Linked DNA regions of Coturnix japonica. The protein of the gene in region 1 purifies or fractionates together with the protein of each later gene. This does not show direct contact. Links are inferred from orthologs where the notes say so. Each region holds a gene or a part of one and is shown in the gene's direction. Other genes may lie near its edges.

The links. The genes of interacting proteins can lie anywhere in the genome.
Region 2: the proteins of CHAF1B (region 1) and CBX3 purify together in Homo sapiens (affinity purification with mass spectrometry; 3 studies listed by BioGRID and IntAct, with this or other methods). This does not show direct contact. The link is inferred for Coturnix japonica from reciprocal best matches to the Homo sapiens genes CHAF1B and CBX3.

What each region holds. Positions count from the first base shown.
Region 1 is NC_029516.1:95,999,368-96,003,668, forward strand, and holds the start of CHAF1B (chromatin assembly factor 1 subunit B), read left to right. Parts: upstream 1-1,498; 5' UTR 1,499-1,593; intron 1,594-2,011; 5' UTR 2,012-2,016; coding exon 2,017-2,142; intron 2,143-2,532; coding exon 2,533-2,665; intron 2,666-3,366; coding exon 3,367-3,484; intron 3,485-4,301. UniProt on the Homo sapiens protein: Acts as a component of the histone chaperone complex chromatin assembly factor 1 (CAF-1), which assembles histone octamers onto DNA during replication and repair.
Region 2 is NC_029517.1:29,453,410-29,457,527, forward strand, and holds the start of CBX3 (chromobox protein homolog 3), read left to right. Parts: upstream 1-1,279; 5' UTR 1,280-1,392; intron 1,393-2,656; 5' UTR 2,657-2,683; coding exon 2,684-2,707; intron 2,708-4,118. Other genes in the region: HNRNPA2B1 (heterogeneous nuclear ribonucleoproteins A2/B1), read right to left, coding at 1,042-1,071.

The sequences.
Region 1 (4,301 bases):
GTCAGAGGGATGATTGGTTCTACCCCATGCTTCTCAATTGAATGCAGCAGTACTGGCTTATAAATCCAGTACGTTCCAGCACATGAGTTCAAGTGGTCAGTATTCACATGCGGCTCTTGCCTGCCATTTTTCTAAGCCAAAAGCAGCTGGTGGTCCATTGGAGAGAATGTATGCAAAGCTAGGGTAGGATTCCTGGAGACCTCTGCTGTAACACCACCTCTTGAGGCTTTAAGGCCTTACTTCAGGGCAGCCCAATGCAAAAAATAATTGGCATAGAGGCTCGTTGATGTATTCAATTAATTTGTGTATTTTACCTCAGAGGAAAAAGTGTTGTAGCATAAAGCAAGCAGTCTGCCCGTGAGTCTCTCAGGCTGAAGCTTACCTTTCAATCGCAGTGGGTGATGCTGCATGTAAATGGGTCAGGCTACTAAATCCTTGCTTATCTAGTCAAAGATTTTGAGAAGGAGAGGTGTGTTTTCTTATCTGTGGTGTTAAACAACAAAGTAAGCTAAGGCTGAAAATGTTCAAATGTGACTTGTTTATGCTGTCTTAATATTTAGGTGTCTTCTATTACAGGTAAGATAGATGAGTCCCTCTCTTTTTTTCCCTCTTAAATTATCACAGTAATTATTAAGCCATTAAACTTGTTTTATTACGGTGGTGACAGTATTCTCTTCAGCCAACTGCATGCTTTTTCCATTGAGGTAATCAGGAATAAAGGGTGGGTGAAGAGCCCACCTTTTATCTCTGGTGGTATTCATCATCCAAACAGTGATCAAGAAAAACAGTTTTTGCTTTAAAAAAAAAGATTAAAAAACCACAAAACTGCATTCAGTGTTTGTTATTAGGAATTGTCCTTTTTGTAAAGCCAAGGGTTTTGGCTTTTGCACTGTTAGCTGTCCATATTTGATTGGATTAGGTTCCACTTAGTTATAGCTCATTTTCTTCCAGCGGGCAGTACTTTTGATTTCAGGATGCTTTCTGTTCCAGTACGCCAATAAGGATAATGCAATATTGCTTTGCTTTCATGGTGGCTAAATCGAATGTTTGGTTTTTTTGGAGAGGTGGCTGTAATATAACTTTTAAATATGACTTTTAAAAAGTTTCTGATTTCCTTTTTTTTTTTTTTTTTTTTTTTTTGCTGTGTAGTTTCCATTCCTTCATCGTTATTTATTACGTTTCATGAGATTCTGTAGCTGAGTTTATTGTAGATGACATAAAATATAGCGTTAAGTCTATATTAAAAACGGGAAAAATTACAGTGTACGTTTACACTTGGAAGAGCAGCGGACTGATGGAAATGCTTTTTATTTGTCAAAATGTATTTTTTGTAAAAAATAAAAACGGAAAAAAAAAAAATAAACCTGAATTTGCTGGATCAAAAACACGTGATGGGGTGCCGTGTTTCCTTCATAAATAACTACGACTGTGACCTGCTTTCCTTAACTACCTCAGCTTGTGAGGAAAGCCGCCTCGCTGCGCTGTGGTAACAGCCAAGCTTCCCGCCCAGCTCCGAGCCCGCCCGGAGTCCGCGCGCATGCGCGGGGCGGGAAACGTGGAGCCGCGCTGGAGCTGGGCCGGGCTGTGTTGCAGGTAGAGGGGATGGGGATGGGGATGGGGGTGGATGATACAGCGGTTGAGGCTGAGGGGAGAGGTATGCGGGGCAGCCATGGGTCTGATGCTTTCTGTGGGTGTGCGGTACGGAGCGGCGTGTCGGGCGGCCTAATTTCTTCCTTGCGGTTAAAGCCCTGCAGCTCCGGCGGGCGGGAGTGGCTTCTGTTGGCTGTGTGGAGTCGGGTCGGCCTCCCCCAGAAGGGGGAGAGATGCAGATCCTGCCCCGATCCAGTAACCTGCCCTGCCAGTAACCTCTAACGCTGTAATCACGGCTCTTCCTGATCTTCCTGAACCTGCTGTCCTGTCAGTTTCTGTAGTGCTTGCTATATCCACGTTAATTTGAATCGTGGTCATAGGGAAGAGGAATTTAGGCAGGGTTTTGCTCTGGTTTCCTTAGAAGATATGAAGGTCATCACTTGTGAGATAGCGTGGCACAACAAGGAGCCTGTGTACAGTTTGGACTTCCAGCACGGAACTGATGGGAAGATCAACCGACTGGCCTCTGCAGGTGTGGACACGGCTGTCCGGGTATGTCTCACACCTCTTATGTTTTCTGGTGTAACTAAAATATGACATGTACTCTTACCTGAGGTGTCCCTGGCAGTGTTCAAGGGGCGTCTGGATGAGGAGCTACGAGATATGGTTTAGTGGTTTGTGGTAGCAACAGTAATGGGAGGATGGTTGGACTCGATGATCTTGTAGGTCCTTTCTAAGGTTGCGATTCGATGATTCTATACTACAGTATAGTCACGCCTCTAGCTCCAAGAGGGAAAATTTGTGGTACCACTGCAGCTTTACCTATGGAAGCTTCAGATCATAAGTTCAGAATGATGGTCCAAGGAGTAAATAGTGAATTATTGTAGTGAGACAAGATTATATCTTGTTTCCAAAAACTACCTGCATTGCTTTTGTAACTAGATATGGAAAGTGGAAAAAGGACCGGATGGAAAAGCTATTGTGGAATTCTTGTCCAATCTCGCCCGCCATACCAAAGCAGTCAATGTCGTGCGCTTCTCTCCCAATGGTGAAGTCCTCGCATCTGGTGCTGATGGTGAGTAACAGTGCTCAGTGATGCTAATGAAAAGAAGCTCTGCGTGCATCTGGTGATTGAAGGGAGAAAAGCGAACACACAAACTTGTTCATACCTCTCGCTCACGCTTTCAGTTTCAGATTCCTACATGCCCAGTGACTGTAAGCAGTAAATGCTTGTCAAGCAGTTAGATCCTGAATAACTTTTAATGCCTGAGTCTGAGAAGCTGTTTTCCAGGCATAAGATAAATAACTGCACGTGTTTTCCAGAAGGGGAGATTGAGTGGATTACCTAGTGTCACAGTGAGAAGCTGTGGCTGAATCTGTGTGTTTCTCCCTATCTCTCCAGGGTGATGTGGTTTCTTCAGTCCCAGTAAGGACAGCAGTGGGTAGGGGTGTGTCCTATGAAGCTGAGTGTTACCTTCTTCACTAGAAGATTTTCACAAAGCATTATGTACGGAACCATAGCCAGCTCTAATCCAAAGCAAACTGAAAGTTAAGCCTTGCACTCTCATCTTACTCCTGGGAATCTCTCTTTCATTTTTTTTTTAATTAAAGCATTACATATAAAATAAAAGGTTTAGGCAGTCTAGGAGCTTCTCTTCCCCTTGACAATTTAAGATCTGTTCTACATATGTCATATGTGAGATGAACAATGAACTAAATGTAATGTGTTAACAAATGGGTAGGAAAGAAAGAAGCTTTGTATTATTTCTTGAACAGATGCTGTTATTTTACTATGGAAGCTGAATGATAGCAAAGAATTGGAACCACTGGCTTTTCAGGATGAAGATGAAGCTCAGCTCAACAAGGAAAACTGGACAGTTGTTAAAACTTTAAGGTATTTTAGTGTTTTTGAGATGTTCTTCAGTGTTTTTGATTGCACAGTGACTTTTATCATCTAGTACAGACTTCTGCTCAGTGATGTTAGGACTTCAACACTCTCTAGAATTTACTTACTGCGAGTTCATCTTTTTACTGTCTGTAATTCATTTTTTGTTTGATACAGGGCCATCCTGCATCTGCTGTTACAGCATTAATTGTGACATAAAGAATTTGCATGGCATAGCTGATCCGCTCTGAAATTGGTTCCTGAGATTTGCAATCACTTAAGCTTTAATGCCTGTATATAAGTAAATATCAAGTTTTATATATTAGCTTCATAGTGCAAATTTTGATCGTTATTAAAACAAAAAACATCAGTAGCAGAAATAGTTTGGGCACATTTGCCAGATTGTAGCTGTGAGGCTGGAGGAGTCTTTTTCAACTAGTTCTTTTAAATAGTTGAAAATCTACACTGGCCAGCTTTAGTTTCAATCTATGTTGCAATTAAGAAGATAGATACACTTAACCTGCAAAGACCAGGTAAGTATTGCTGACTGTGGCTAAGGCATCAAACCACTGCTGGTTTGCACTTGCAGTACTGTGTGTGGTGATCTGTTCTCACTCTCAGCAGAAGACTGGAAAGAAATGGGTGATTCTATACCCATTTTGGGTTTGTTCAGCCTAGAAAAGAGAAGGTTGCGGGGTGACCTCATTGCAGCCTTTCAATACCTGAAGGGAACTTACACCCAGGAGGGGAGTAAACTCTTTGAAATGGCTGACAATAGCAGGACACGGGGAAATGGTTTTTAAGTTAAAAGAGGGAAGATTTAGGT
Region 2 (4,118 bases), on another chromosome or scaffold:
CTCGGCCCTCAGCAATGGCTGCCGCAGCTCTTACGTAATTTGAAATTCAGCTCCGCGCACTACGAGCGCCCTCCTCCTCCTCCTCCTCCTCCTGCTCTACCCGGCCGCACCTCCGGGCTTTAATTAAAAAAATAGCTCGGATTTTAGAGCCTAAATCGGTCCCGAGGGGCTGCGGCTCCGTGCGATACCCCTCTGTTTTTGGCACCTAATAAAAACTCATCGACGCCGTTACTAATGGCCGTCTCCGAAATGAGCCGAACGACTCGTCCTCGCCCGAGCTTATCCGCTTCGCCAGCCGCCGGAAACAGCCGAAAGAGGAACGCCAGCCCGTTCGGCTCGCTTCGGCGATTTCCGGAATCAGCCGACACCGACGAAACAGGCGATCGGCTCAAGTTCGGCAATTTCCGGAAAAAAAAGACGCAGAGCTCACCGACTCCCCCAACCCACTCGGCAATTTCCGACAGCGGAAGGGCTCTCTCATAGGTGCCCGAACAGATCCGAAAAGGCCCGAGCAGACCCGAAGCGGCCCGAGCGTCGCTGGCACAGCGCTCCTTCTTTTTTTTTCCCTCTCTCCGGAAATTGCCGATCGCTGCAGCCCGTAGTGCGGGGTTATAATTAGCCGCAGCGGCCCCGCACCCCACCACCCTCGGCGGGCGGGAGCGCGGTACAACACAACGCAGCTGCTCCCCCTCCACCCTCGGCCCAGGCGGGAGGCAGCGCTGACCTGGAGCTGTGCCCGGCGGACAGCGCTGGGCCCGGCCTCGTTCCGCCGGCAGCCACGCAGCGCTCGCCTCCCTCCCGCCCTCCCCTTTCCTCTCACACGCGGCGAGAAAGGGTGAGTGCTGCCGAGTGCTGCTGGGTGCTGCCGCCCTGCAGCAGCGACACGGCACCGGGGCTCCCGCTTTCTGTCCCCCTGCAGCCCCGCTCTGCTCTCCATTAACCGCCAATAAAGGCCTTTCCCCGGGCCCTCTCCCTCCTTCCCTCCCTGGCGGTGGCGGCCATGATGGCGGCTGCCTCCCGCGTCCCGCCGGCCTCCCTCACCCAGTCGCTTTCTCTGTCTCCGCGAGGCATCTTCCTCCTTTTGGACGCCTGGCGCGGTCCTGCGCTCGCCCCCCGTGGGACAGACGTCTTGGCCCCCTCCTGTGCTGGCGGCGACGACGGGAGGAGGTTGCGGCTGGCGCGTAGGCGGCGTCGTTCGCTCTGCCCCGTCAGCCGCCGGCGCGCTCAGCTCGGCCCAACCCGCCCCGCACCGCCCGTCCCGCCCCGCGCCGCTCCCCGCCCCCTCCCCTCCCCCCTCAGCCCCTCGGATGCCGCCGCTGCCGCCGCCGCTCAGAGCGCGCAGGGCGAGAGCCGGGAGGAGACGGGGGAGCGGCGCGGCCGAGCGGCACTGAAGTCTGTATCCTTCTTTTTCCCCTTCTTTCCTCGTCTCGGCGGCACTCCCCGCTCCCACGTTTACTCCCCGCCGACATCCGCGGGGATGGAGCGCGGGGTGCGGCCGATTTTCCCCCCCCCCCCCCACCACCACCAACCCCTATAGCGCGGCGGCCGCGGGAGGAGTGGGCATGGCGGGAGGGCCCCGCGGGAAGGAAGGAAGGAAGGGAGGAGGAAGGGAGGAGGGAGGGCGGGTGGGCGGCGGGGCCGGGCCGGGCAGACAAAGCCGCCCGCCAGCGCCCGGAGCGGCCTCCGCGGCGGGGAAACGTGGCGGGGCGGGGGGTGGCGGGCATGGCGAGGCGATGCCCCCCCTTCCTCCTCCTTCCCTCCCTCCTTTCCTCCTTCCCTCCCGGCGGCCCGCGGGGCTCCGTTCCTTATGGGTTGGGGGTGGGGGGTATCGGGATCGTTCTTGTGGTTTCTTTCCCCTTTCTCTTTCCGATGGGGACGCGAGGAGCTCTCCCGCTCGGCCCTTTCCGCCGCGCTCCCCCCACCCCCCCCCCTAGCGGGGGGCTGAGCCCTCGGGCCCTGCAGGGCCGTGTGCTGTGCCGTGCTCGGGCCTGTGTGCGATCCGAAGTTTTGTAGTTGGAACGGGGCAGGGATGATAACGTGCTTAAAGAGGTGGTCGGTGTGAGAGGTGTGGTGGTGAAGGGGATGGATGGTGTTGGACTCGCTTGCTTAGGTTAAACGTAGCGTGTGCAGCTTAGCCGAGCTCACGTCGGTGCAGGGCCTTTAATTCGTTCAAACTTGAGAATCGGAGGGCAGCGTTGTGTATTAAAAGAAATATTCGCAGTTTGGAAAGCGGTGGGTGCTCTGTTACACTCCAGACGTGGAGCTGCTCCCCGCCGGATCCACAGTTAACACGTCTAAAGCTATATTTGAGTTAACTGCTGGAATCTGAGCTCCTGTTCTGTTGGGTTGAAGGAAATAAGCATCCCTGATGGTCCTCCCCCTTTTCCCTACAAACGTCTCCGTGCCTTAGAAGGCCTTGGAAAAACCTTTTTTCCCCCCCATCTACCACTTCGTTACTATATATCCCGACTAGGTAAAGGTGTGTTACTGGGTTATGCCGGACAAAGCAGTAAGCTGCTTCTTGTCCTGGATTTAATCCATCCTGTAAATGTTCTATGCCGTGAATACATGGGGGTTGGAACAAGGACCATGTTGTATTGGGATGCCTTTCTTTGAGTAACGTCAACTTCCTTTTAATTGTCATGCATTTTTCTAGTAAAAGCTCTGCAAGTCTGCAATAAAAATGGCCTCCAATAAAACTACATTGGTAAGTTCACGCACACCTAAAGTATGTAAGGATTTAATCAACATATTTTTCTTCAAACTTAATAACTTGGCATCTCCATTTAAAAAGATACATCCACATCTCCCCTCCCCAGCATTTTTCTGACCAAAATTTCAGGTCCAGAAAGTAAGGCTACTAGAAAGGACATACTCTTTGGCTTTAACAAATCTGCCATTTCTACAGAGACTTGTTGGGGAATACCAAAAAAAATCAAGGACTGTGCACTATTTCGTCTGTCCTGTTGTAGAAAGCACTAAGGATTTTTTTTAGCCTCCTTTCAGGATACCATGTAATTCATCGTTTATGTAAAAATAAGTAAAATCATGTATTCGTTTGATTTCTTCTAGTCTATTCAGAGAAATAGAAGAACAAACTGAGTAAAGGCGGTCATACAGAAGAAAAATAACATTACTGGGAAATGATGTGGTGTAGTTAAGATGCCCTTTGAAATTATTATTATTATTATTATCATTTTTTTTACCAAATAACAGTTTATTTGAATTTCATAGGAACAGAAATGATCAGATGTCAACCCCTCCTGAACGATTTTAATGACGCATTCATGGTTCTCAAGTCCCTGTAAAGCTTTGCTTGACGTTAAAATATGAACTTCTAAAGGCAGTTGGTTGCTGGAAAAATGATTTTAATTGCCATTCAACTACTTACTTTATATATAAATACATATATATCGATATATATATATATATATACACATATATGTGTGTGTGTGGAAGAACTGAAGGAATATAGCATGAGATGCATCTGAGGTTGAAGCAGGATGCGTGGATACAATTGGACATTTGGATAGCAGAACAACGGACTTATCATGCACTCAAAAGGCCCGTTCTTAAATTACTCCAATGGTTGCTAATTGACCCACATTGAGGCACGTTAAAAACTCTTCTTAACTCCTGGCTTCGAAGCACAGTGCTTATTTGATATTATATGATGGCAAACCGTTCTAAAGATAACATCGAGATGAATGTCTGAACTTTGTTAGCAATTGATTGTCCACTTTTCCCTATTATGAGGAAGAGGAGCAGTTACCAGCCCAGGGAGGGCCTCAGGGAAGGGAAGGAGTCTGCAACTGCAGTATTTTTGCTATTATGTTCAGAATTTTGCTGCAGGTCAGGAAAAATCAGTTATGGTTCCCATGGGAACCGTAACTAATTCTGCTTCATTGCATATTTGAATGCAAAACTTAGATCTATTGGGGGTAGTGTAGCTCTGGAACTGTAATTCTGCTTTTGTTACCTCACGTATCGTGTAACACTCCATCACAACGTCATGTCTCTGTTCTAGTATTGCCCCTTAAAGAAGGAGTCATTACCCATTGAAAGCCATCTCTGTCTGTCGGATGTGACTTCTGAATGGGGAGCAAGCCTCAGATGAG